Xenopus tropicalis: one gene and its partners. The protein of the gene in region 2 purifies or fractionates together with the protein of the main gene of each other region. This does not show direct contact. Links are inferred from orthologs where the notes say so. Each region holds a gene or a part of one and is shown on either strand. Other genes may lie near its edges.

Region 1 (3,755 bases), on a different chromosome or scaffold from region 2:
GGGGTCACGACCCACAGGTTGAGGACCGCTGTCCTGCAGAATGCGACATGAATGCATACGTACGTGACTCAGTGTACGTACGCATTTGCGCAGCACTTGTAACCAGAAATCCACAGGGGATCTACTGGTGGACCACGATTGACACATTGGCCACCCCCGGTTTAGGGGTTTACTTGTCATTTAGTTGTAATCTTTATAACAGCCTTGGTGTATAATTACATTCTAAGATTTAAACCCCCATTGTAATGAGAGCAACTAAGTTTTTCCAGTACAGGTATAGGACCCATTATCCAGAATGCCCGGGACCAAGGGTATTCCAGAAATGGGGTCTTTCTGTATTTTGGATCTCCATACCTTAAGTCTACTAAAAAAATCAGTAAAACATTAATAAACCCAATAGAATTGTTTTGCATCCAATAATGATTGATTAAATCTTAGTTGGGATCAAATACAAGGTACTGTTTTATTATTAAGATAATAAATAGCGGAGCACCAGGGGGATAAGATTAAAATCCAGTCTTTATTCCATCATAGATAAAAGGCACATGCACATCCCTCAGGGTCTAACGCTTAAAGCGTTAGACCCTGAGGGATGTGCATGTGCCTTTTATCTATGATGGAATAAAGACTGGATTTTAATCTTATCCTCGTGGTGCTCCGCTATTTATTATCTTTCTATTTTTGCTTGGCTTTTGGACCTTTGGGAGTGGGTCTGCGTGACAGCACACTTGGGCTTGCGGTAAGTGCTCCCGTGTAATGTAATTTTTAGTACTGTTTTATTATTACAAAGAAAAAGGAAATCAATTTTAAAAATCTGAGAAATGGATCTGGGATCCATTTCTGCATAATGGATCCCATACCTGTAATCCATAGCAAGCAATAAGATGTAAAAAGGTGACCAGTAAATGCTACCTGCTAATTTGTTGCTATTGTTGTTATTGCAACAGGACAAAGTTAGTGGGGGCATTTCTAAAAACCGGGAAAATTGCATATGGGGAGTAACCCCATGCGTGTCAACCAATCACATGCTTGCTTTCATTGTTCTACCTGCAGCTAGCTGAAAAAAATATAGACAGTAGACACATTTGCCCATGAGCAACCATTGTTCTACCTGCAGCTGGCTAAATAAAGCCAATCACTGAATGGTTGCTATGGGTTACTGCCCATGGTCAAATTTGCCCAGTGTTGATAAAGGAGTCTCACTGACTGGTTGCTTGGGGCAAATTTGCCAAGTGTTTATAAATGAGCACTATTTGATAATATAATCCCAATAGTTACCTATTAGATAGATACCTTTTTGCGGGACAGTTGTCATTTTTTGGTCCAGTGCAGTCCCTCACAAATCAAATTTCAAGTCTTGAAAAACAAGACTGCGAAATCATTATTCACATTGTATAAAGGGCTTAAACGACTGCACCCAGCTGGAATGATGATGTAGGGCTGCAATGTCCCTGCATAAAACACTAGTACACCTATTGCTTCTTTACTTGCAATACTGCCATTCCAACCATGTAAAAAGCGATGTTTTGTTAAATAGGCGTAGTATTTTGAGGGCGTAGCCACAAAGTGCCTGTGGACAAAAGTTTCCCTGCTGCAGGTCCTTATGTTCCTTTTTTGATTATTCACATGTTGGGAGGTATGCAGTTCAGCAGCTTTAAGCCTGCATGTAAAGTTTAACATTCTTTTTCTTCACCCCAACCACCCTATATTCCTCTCAAAAATTGTTGCCAAAATGTGCACAGTCATATCTTTATAGACACAAAGCAGAACCACAAGTACTGCGACATTCACATGCATTTTATCCAGGAAGCCCAGTGAATTATTTGAAATGTCAGAGACCTTTAAAGAGAAATTATGTCCCATTTACAAAAGGTTTTGATTTCCATGTAGTTTTACAAATATTCCCATACACGCCCATGTTATGTTGCTGAATTGTGCAATAAGAGGTTTAACTGGTAAACTGGTGGGCTGCATGTCATGAAACGGGTATAAAACTTACATATATGTAGCAAGCGACAAATTGTGAATCCCCATGTATCACTCAACAAGTTCGCCCACTGGATCAGTCTGATGATTCCCCACTGCCTGACAGTCATCTGCTACTTCTCCCACTGACTGCAAAGACTGAAACTAAATATTGCGCAGCTCACGTCCATCTTCATGGGTATCCGCAACATTTATACCATGAAAAAGCAACTTTCTCTGTTTCCAAAGCAACACAACAGACACACCAACCGAGTATACCGAAAACCATAGCATACGACCCAGCGACTTGCTAAAGTGTCGTACCAACTTCCTCATTATACACTACTTTCTGAAGCTTGTGTTGAGAGTGTAAAAGCTGCAGTTCAGCAATAATTGTGAAATCCATACAAGTTAGTGTCGCCCACATACTCTGTCATACTGAACTCGAATGGCTATGATAGTTTCAAACTCCTTCTCCGAGTGTGTCACCGCAACAAGAACTGGTCGGGTACAGCAAACACTGCTCCCGGTACACTCCCAGTGGGCCCCGGTACACTGTTGCCCACAGAACAACGCAACTTTGCCCTGAGTAAAGTGTTACCTGTGTCCGGGGCAGTGAGGCCGCCATGCTGCTTCCGACCCGATCCGCCCATCATGCACAGAAAGAGGGGAGGGAGAGTGTGTGAGATAGTGGGTGGGGCCACTATGAGGAGGGGACTGTGTGAGAGCTAGTGGGTGGGGCCACTATGAGGAGGGGACTGTGTGAGGGCTAGTGGGTGGGGCCACTATGAGGAGGGGACTGTGTGAGAGCTAGTGGGTGGGGCCACCATGAGGAGGGGACTGTGTAAGAGCTAATGGGTGGAGCCACTATGAGGAGGGGACTGTGTGAGAGCTAGTGGAAGGAGCTGCTGCAAGTAAATATGGGAGAGCCTGAGTGCTAATGGGATGAACCAGTGGGAGGTGGAGCGCTGGAAGTGTAAGGAGAATGGGGTCACGGGACGGCTGGGAAGTTGGGAACTGTAAGGAAATGTCAAAATGTGTTTTTTTCCAGCCGGGCTGTTAGGGGGCGCTTATAGAATATAATATACTTTATTTAGAAAAAGTATTGGTGTGTTTCTATACTTTTCCTTGCAAGGTGTGGTGGCAGTTATATTGCGAGGTACCTGTTTGGGACGTAGAAAAACCTGGGATACTTACCCTCACTGTAAAGCCTCAGAGACCTGGGCAATGGCAGATCTGACATTGCACACCACAATATGTGGCCGAAATAACCAAAAACCATGTTTAGGACAATAGAAATGTTGACACATTCACAAGGTAAATAGGAACATTGTTACTTAGGTTGAAAAAAGACGTACGTCTATCAGATTCAACCATAATGCCTATGTATAACTTGCAGGGCTGGAACTAGGGGTAGGCAGAAGAGGCAGCTGCCTAGGGCGCAACGATTGGGGGGTGCCAGGCAGCAGCCTCGCCTGCCTACCCCTAGGTTGCATCGTGCCATTTCAAATCGCACACCGCGCCCCCCGCGCACAAACTGCGCATGCGTGTCAAAACACACGGGGAGGGTTTGCAAAGTAGCGGTGCAGGGGCGACGTAGCCAACCGGGTTGCCTAGGGCGCCCGGTCGGCTCGGCCCGCCCCTGATAACTTGCCTAACTGCTAGGTGATCCAGGGGAAGGCAAAAAACCCCATCTGAAGCCTCTCTAATTTGCTGCAGAGGGGGAAAAAGTTCCTTCCGGACCAGTCCCTGGATCAACTTGTACTGACAGCTATCTCCCAAAACCCTGT
Region 2 (3,655 bases):
AAACCAACAGATGCTAAAAGGCCAAACATAACATTCACTAAATGGGGAAGCTGATATAACACAAAATCCCTGAAAACGAGAGGCATAAAACGCTTAAGTGCATAAGTACAAGAATGGCCCGGGGCATGATAAGCAATTGACCTCAAAAACTACAAAACCCAATCTACCAAATACAGCATAAGATGAGAATAAAGCATCACAGAGTAAAAATGTCCATTCCCTACTACAAGAGTTCCCTCACAGACCAGAGGGACTTCCACAATATGGTGCAAGAAACTGTAAAGACACAGACACCCACTCGCTGCAATAACCATAACCCTGGCACTAGCCAACTCACTAGTATCCACCAGCAGGTCACATAATCCACACAAGAAACTGGCAACAATTAGATACACCTTCCACTAGTGCTGGGGCTATGTACCCATCCCTCAGCACTAGCCTGTGGCCCTGGAAAATAAGGCTTGGCACTCACAAGCATCTAGCCCCACAGACAAACCTCCAAACCTACACAAGAACCAGAAGATCATGCCACCACAGAGCTGATGCCACACACAAGTGAAGGTGCCCTACAGTGCAAAGACACACAGCAATCAGGCCAGACACCACCCATGCCAACCACGGGTGGACAGGCCAGACACCACCCATGCCAACCACGGGTGGACAGGCCAGACACCACCCATGCCAACCACGGGTGGACAGGCCAGACACCACCCATGCCAACCACGGGTGGACAGGCCAGACACCACGCATGCCAACCACGGGTGGACAGGCCAGACACCACGCATGCCAACCACGGGTGGACAGGCCAGACACCATACATACAAAACCACAAGAGCGAAAAACAGCTAGCATACAAGCCATTGCACATAAGCTAGCACTGTGCTTGCAATCTCCGACGCACTAGTCTGTTACTGTACCTGTAAAACACATGACCCCCAACCTGCCCTTGCCAAATAGTAGTGACGTATAGGAGCCAAAAACAAGCACACAAGACGGAAGCAAAGTGCCCCAAAGAAACACATGCGCCCTCTACATAGTATTGGCTTGTCAGCAAAATTAAAACTACAGTCAGAACCCTGGAGAAAGGCTGTTTATTAGGTGCAGTTCCATTGTGAGAAAGGAAGGAGGTACCATACTGCTACACCAATGCAACCCCCAGCAAGTCCTGGATGCACCCGGTGTAATATGGAGCACAAATACCCACTTTGTCTGCACAAAGGACTTACAAATAAACACTTTAGCAATAGCAAAGAGCCCCATAAGAGTGAATGCACCATACAAGACAGCAGGGAGTATTCAGCAGGATGGTAACTCCAGCAAGAACCCTGACAGCTTCCAGCTGAGGGACATAACTAGCCAATTAGTATGCAGCCGATGTCAGTCCTCTATAGGCTTGCAGAACCATAGGAGAAGGCTACATTATCTCTCAGGAAGGAACATGGGAAGAATAACCACAACTGTATTTATTCCCAATAAGCAACAGGTTCAATTCTGTGCATAGTAGGACATACCACAGGGAGGGGGGGGTTATTTTTTTAGCACAGGGCTAGGACCATGGGTATATGATTGGCTATGTTATATGTCCTACCTCCTTGTCTGGGAGGGGTAATACTGTCCATCTGTACTGACACAGAAGGGACGCAGAAGGAAAGGAAGCAATCAGCTGTCCCTGAGGCACTCTCCAGCTCTCACCCAATACAATACAGTTTACCCAGAAGGAGCTGGCAGTCCATACCAGAGGGGTGCACATAACAGAATTTGTCATTTAGCAATTAAGGAATAAAGTAGGGCGATGGTTTGGCTATAGTGCAGATTTCTGCAGTCACCCCAATATCATGTCATCTGGTTGCATGGGCACAGAACTTAAATGGGGATCATTCACCTTACAATTAACTTGTCTGAGGTTCCCAGAGTGGAGACACTTTGAATGTCAGGTTGGACTGGTATGCCAGAATCAAATAGTCCTTACCCTGCTACCAGAATCCTTGGTATCTCAGAGGCAAACGCTTCGGCCATTTCTCTGCTCCCCACATTTGCAATGCAGTGCAGGGCCAGGCACATAAAAGTAGGGTTCCGGCTGGCCAGGTCGTTTTTAATGGCATTGTTAATGAGGCGAATGAGTTCGCTGTTGGAGTTCACAAGAACGGAGATGAAAAGGTAGCCCTAGGGAAGTAAAAAAATTTTTATTGCTAGCATTGGTAAAAGAATGAGAACAGTGGCTGCCCCACAAGAGGCTTCAGTATCTGTCAATTTCTGCTTCTATACATCACAATAATAAATTCTGCCTTGTAATGTTTTATCTGGGATTAACATTTATTTCTCATATATATAACTATGTACACTAGACCATATAGCTATTGTTTTGTTGGGCTCAGAAATCTAAAATACCTTTGAGTCATCCCAACGTGCCATACCATTGTGGGCAGCCTAGCGCTGCTGTTGTTTCCCCCAACGGGAGAGAACGCTCTATTAGCCCGCACCTCTGCTGGGGGAAGCAATTTTAGGTTGATTGGTGCCCTTTAAGAGCCTGCGGTATTGAGGCTTGCTTACAGCCACAAAAAGCTGGCATAGAAGTTTTCCTAAATTCCAAGTTAAATACAGAAGTAAGACACACCCATAGCATAAAGGTAAATATCCTGCAGTTCTCATTCTACTTTGGCAGAAATTATCTCATATAAAATTCATAATTAAAATCTCAGTCACTGTTATTACTAAAACCCATGTCTTGCTAAAAGAAGGAAAATACCCTGTATGACATTACTGTAGTAGAAGCCCCCCTGTACAAGAAAGCAAGCCTGTACATCCCCCCACCCTGTGTAATTTTGCTATTTGTGTAATTATAGGGTGGCAGAGGCAGGGTGACAGATCCAGGCGGGAGGTAGTACCTCTCATGCTGTTTTTCAGTTACTTACAATCTGTTTCTCTGTGTATTTATTGGAGCTCAGCAAGTTCACAGCTTCCATATGCCCAAAGTCGATATCATGTCCCAGCAGGAAGATAAAGAGCAGCTTACAGACGTATTTCTTCTTACTGTAGCCATCGAGCGCTTTGTCACCTATTTATAGAAAAGGCATAAGACGCTGGGAAATCAAACATCTGTGACACAAAATATATTGATATCTGAGCTCTTACACGTTCTGCCCACAGACTAATAAATGCTGGCACAATGGAGAGGCTTTTAGTTAAGCTGCCCACAAACAAAAGCTATCAGCGGCAGGGACCGGTTCCAGGAACATTGTCAGATAGACTTGTGGGATTATGGGGAGAAGAGATTTCTCTTTACATCTTCTGGGCCTAAATTGTCTCTGTAAAGCTGGCCACACACTGTAAGATCTGCTCGTTTGGTGAGGTTGCCATACAAGCAGATGTTCTCTTTAATATGCTCACCTAAAGTGGACCTAGGAACAAAATTATCAGATTACAACAACGGGAATATGAGCCTCGAAGCGAGGACCACTTCAACTAGATGTTACGGTTGACATCTGGCCAATTATCACCCAGATATAGGTCAGGTAGGCCCATGGGAGGGCCCCATACATGGGCAGATAAGGTTGGTCTGAACAGCCTGAATCGCCAGATTAAATCTGCCCATGTATGGCCACCTTAAGATACTATGATATAGAAAAGGAACCTGATATTAAAGGAATGCATGCCT
Region 3 (3,655 bases), on a different chromosome or scaffold from region 2:
ATCTAATTGCTGATTGGTTGCCCTGGGCAACATCACCAGTAATGCTTCACTCCACGTTTTACATGGCATGATAAATATACCCCTTACTGTCCAGGGCATGTAAAGAAAAATCATGACTAGCAACATTAAAACAATGTAACTGGAGTCTGTTCTACTCTAGGCCTCTTATTCAGCAGGCTTGCAACATTGTCTGGGTGTTTATATTCTCTCACCCCTCAAACAGACACTTTTTTCAATAGCAAAATTACATTTATCCTCTATTTGTATTATTTTATGTGATTACATATATATTACACATTATGGGAAAGAGTTATCAAAACGTGAGGTTAAAGCCCACAACATAAAATTTAACCCACTCTCTATTGATTTCTAAGGGATTTTCAAAAGTGTGTTTATAAAGGGGTGAAAAGTTAGAGCTCACCATTTGATAAAGAACCCCTCTGAACATCCCACAGAAATTAATAGGAAGTGGGTGAATATTTCTGTGGTGAGCTCTAATCTCACACCTTGATAAATATTTCCCTAAGTATTTAAATGGAAGCCAAAGTTACTTTGCTATTAAAATACAACTTAAGTATAACACTATTAAGGCAAATGTATTTATATAATGCGTTGCGATTATCCGGAAACAGTACTTTATATAACAACTTAAATGTAAGTTTACGGGGAAAAAAAAAAAAACCATCCTTGGCAATCTACAAAACTGATTACTGTTGACAGTAAAATCATTTTACAACACAGAATGCTTAGATTTCCTCAACAGATACTAAATCTCTAAATGTAAATATATCAGCATTTGCCACTTTTTTTTTTCAGACAAAAGCTCATGAAACCCATCAGCTATTGTCTGTTTTCCAGAGGGATCAAGGAAGGAAGGAAGAACAGATTTAGCCTTTAGAAAATCTCCAGCATCATCTAAATATGGGCTGACTGATAGGGGCTTGAATTCAAGTTGTAGTCCTATTTTTGTTTAGTTAATAGGCCTCCATCTCACCCAATGTCTAATGTTCAACAGTCCTATATACAAGCCAACTGGCTCAGCAGAATTAATGAAAAGAGGATAATTTGTTTTTTTCAGTAAAATAAATAGTAGTTCATATATGCACAATTAGGGGGAAATGGAAAAGAATCTTTACAAATGGTCATCAGCTAAAATCAAAGAATGGCAATTGATGGAACTGAGCAGCTAAATGCTAAGTACAAACTCCACCAGAAGCTCTGTCCAGTCCCCCCCCCCCCCCCCTCTCTTAGACATAAGCTTGTTCTGTTCAACCATAGTCTGCCTCTTTTTTACAGGGACCATTTCCCAAGCCCAGGCATTGAAGAGATTCAGCTCCAACCTTACTCCATACTGAATGAAGGATTCTGGGACTTCTGGGCTACTTCAAGTCCCAGTATCCATCACTTCAGTATCAAACAAGGTGCAATGGCAATTTGTACTAAAATGCTTAATTCTACATCAAAATAAAAGCTATTTTTAACGTGAACATCCCCTTTTAAAATAATTAACCATCCATTTCTTTGTGTAGTTCACATTTAAATTAAAATTTAGTGTGTTATAGAATGGAGTATTCTTAGCACCTTTTACATTTTTGTTTTTTATTAAATTTTTTGGGGGGTTTCAGTTTTTTTTTTCTATTTTCTGAATTACTAGCTTTGCTCTGTGAGGCTGCAGTTTTATTGTTATTGATACCTTTAATTACTTTCAGTCTCCCATTCGCGCCACTGCTTAGTTACTAGAGTAAATTGGACCCCGCTATTAGATAGCTGCTATTTAGTTGCTAGGGTTCAGCAGTTGGAGAGTTGCTCAACAAAAAGCTAAATAACTCAAAATTCAATAACTAAAAAAATAAAGAGTAATTACGAACTGCCTCAAAATATCTGTCACTGTCTACATTTTAATAAAGGTGAACTCTTTCTTGAAACTATAAATTGCATTTCCCTATTCTCCAATAGCATATTGTTAGTAGTACTGTTGGTAGTACACAGCTCATTTTGCAAAATAAGAAGGAAAGTAAATTAATTGGAAGCCCACATACTGCACATTCACACAAGTAGATCACTCACTCACAGAAAACATGATTAATCCCATACACTGTGCCAAACTCTGGCAGTCGTTTCTTTTGTACCTGAACAGTAGGGCTCAGCACAATAGAAATGTTCTGTATGTTCATTTTTGTTTCAAGTTCCTTCTCTATGACATGGTCCATGTGCACTATTAGCCATGAAGTCAGGCAGAAGTTGCATTCTGGCAGTTCCTTCAATAAGCGCTGACACTCCTGCAGCCTCTCCCCTTCTGTACTTTTGCCACACGCCTCCTCAAACCGTGGCATTAGATCTTTGGTCAGCACATTTTCTGGTAGCTCCCGCAGGTATTGCTTTAATAAACTTGCCACTGTGTATGGCTCATAATCCTCCAGGTTTGGAGACTCCCCTCTGTCATAAGCTGCCTTTAGCTCATCCACCTTCGACTTTATTCCTGGGAAAGCAAAAATAATAAGCACTAAATAAGTTCATATATACACTTTATAAAAGAATATAATATATAAAAGAATATAACAAGAATGTAACAGCATTTTATACACGTGGTCCTGCCCTTATTTTATCTCCAATAAATGTATATAGTGCTGCTTGTGTCTCGGTATGGGGCATTTCATTGGATTTTTACTTCAACTCCATGCTAACTGCTGACTATACTTAAAGGGATACTGTTGCCAGAATTCAAAAGGTATACATCTTTAACTGAAAATAATGTAAAATCTTAAACCATTAGCAACACCAAACATTTAATAACCCATGTACAGTGGAGGAAATAATTATTTGACCCCTCACTGATTTTGTAAGTTTGTCCAATGACAAAGAAATGAAAAGTCTCAGAACAGTATCATTTCAATGGTAGGTTTATTTTAACAGTGGCAGATAGCACATCAAAAGGAAAATCGAAAAAATAACTTTAAATAAAAGATAGCAACTGATTTGCATTTCATTGAGTGAAATAAGTTTTTGAACCCCTACCAACCATTAAAAGTTCTGGCTCCCACAGAGTGGTTAGACACTTCTACTCAATTAGTCGACCTCATTAAGGACACCTGTCTTAACGAGTCACCTGTATAAAAGACACCTGTCCACAGAATCAATCAATCAAGCAGACTCCAAACTCTCCAACATGGGAAAGACCAAAGAGCTGTCCAAGGATGTCAGAGACAAAATTGTAGACCTGCACAAGGCTGGAATGGGCTACAAAACCATTAGCAAGAAGCTGGGAGAGAAGGTGACAACTGTTGGTGCGATTGTTCGAAAATGGAAGGAGCACAAAATGACCATCAATCGACCTCGCTCTGGGGCTCCACGCAAGATCTCACCTCGTGGGGTGTCAATGATTCTGAGATTGGTGAAAAAGCATCCAAGAACTACACGGGAGGAGTTAGTTAATGACCTCAAATTAGCAGGGACCACAGTCACCAAGAAAACCATTGGAAACACATTACACCGCAATGGATTAAAATCCTGCAGGGCTCGCAAGGTCCCCCTGCTCAAGAAGGCACATGTGCAGGCCCGTCTGAAGTTTGCCAATGAACACCTGAATGATTTTGTGAGTGACTGTGTTTGGAGGAAGAAAAATGCTGCCTATGACCCCCAAAACACCGTCCCCACA

What was found.
Region 1: the proteins of ap2a1 (region 2) and eps15 purify together in Homo sapiens (affinity purification with western blotting; 5 studies listed by BioGRID and IntAct, with this or other methods). This does not show direct contact. The link is inferred for Xenopus tropicalis from reciprocal best matches to the Homo sapiens genes AP2A1 and EPS15.
Region 3: the proteins of ap2a1 (region 2) and ralbp1 purify together in Homo sapiens (affinity purification with mass spectrometry; 5 studies listed by BioGRID and IntAct, with this or other methods). This does not show direct contact. The link is inferred for Xenopus tropicalis from reciprocal best matches to the Homo sapiens genes AP2A1 and RALBP1.

The regions. Positions count from the first base shown.
Region 1 is NC_030680.2:96,319,953-96,323,707, forward strand, and holds the start of eps15 (epidermal growth factor receptor substrate 15), read right to left. Parts: upstream 2,700-3,755; 5' UTR 2,594-2,699; coding exon 2,567-2,593; intron 1-2,566. UniProt on the Homo sapiens protein: Involved in cell growth regulation. May be involved in the regulation of mitogenic signals and control of cell proliferation. Involved in the internalization of ligand-inducible receptors of the receptor tyrosine kinase (RTK) type, in particular EGFR.
Region 2 is NC_030683.2:117,150,165-117,153,819, reverse strand, and holds part of ap2a1 (AP-2 complex subunit alpha-1), read right to left. Parts: intron 3,056-3,655; coding exon 2,913-3,055; intron 2,164-2,912; coding exon 1,970-2,163; intron 1-1,969.
Region 3 is NC_030682.2:104,593,302-104,596,956, reverse strand, and holds part of ralbp1 (ralA-binding protein 1), read right to left. Parts: intron 2,480-3,655; coding exon 2,130-2,479; intron 1-2,129. UniProt on the Homo sapiens protein: Multifunctional protein that functions as a downstream effector of RALA and RALB. As a GTPase-activating protein/GAP can inactivate CDC42 and RAC1 by stimulating their GTPase activity.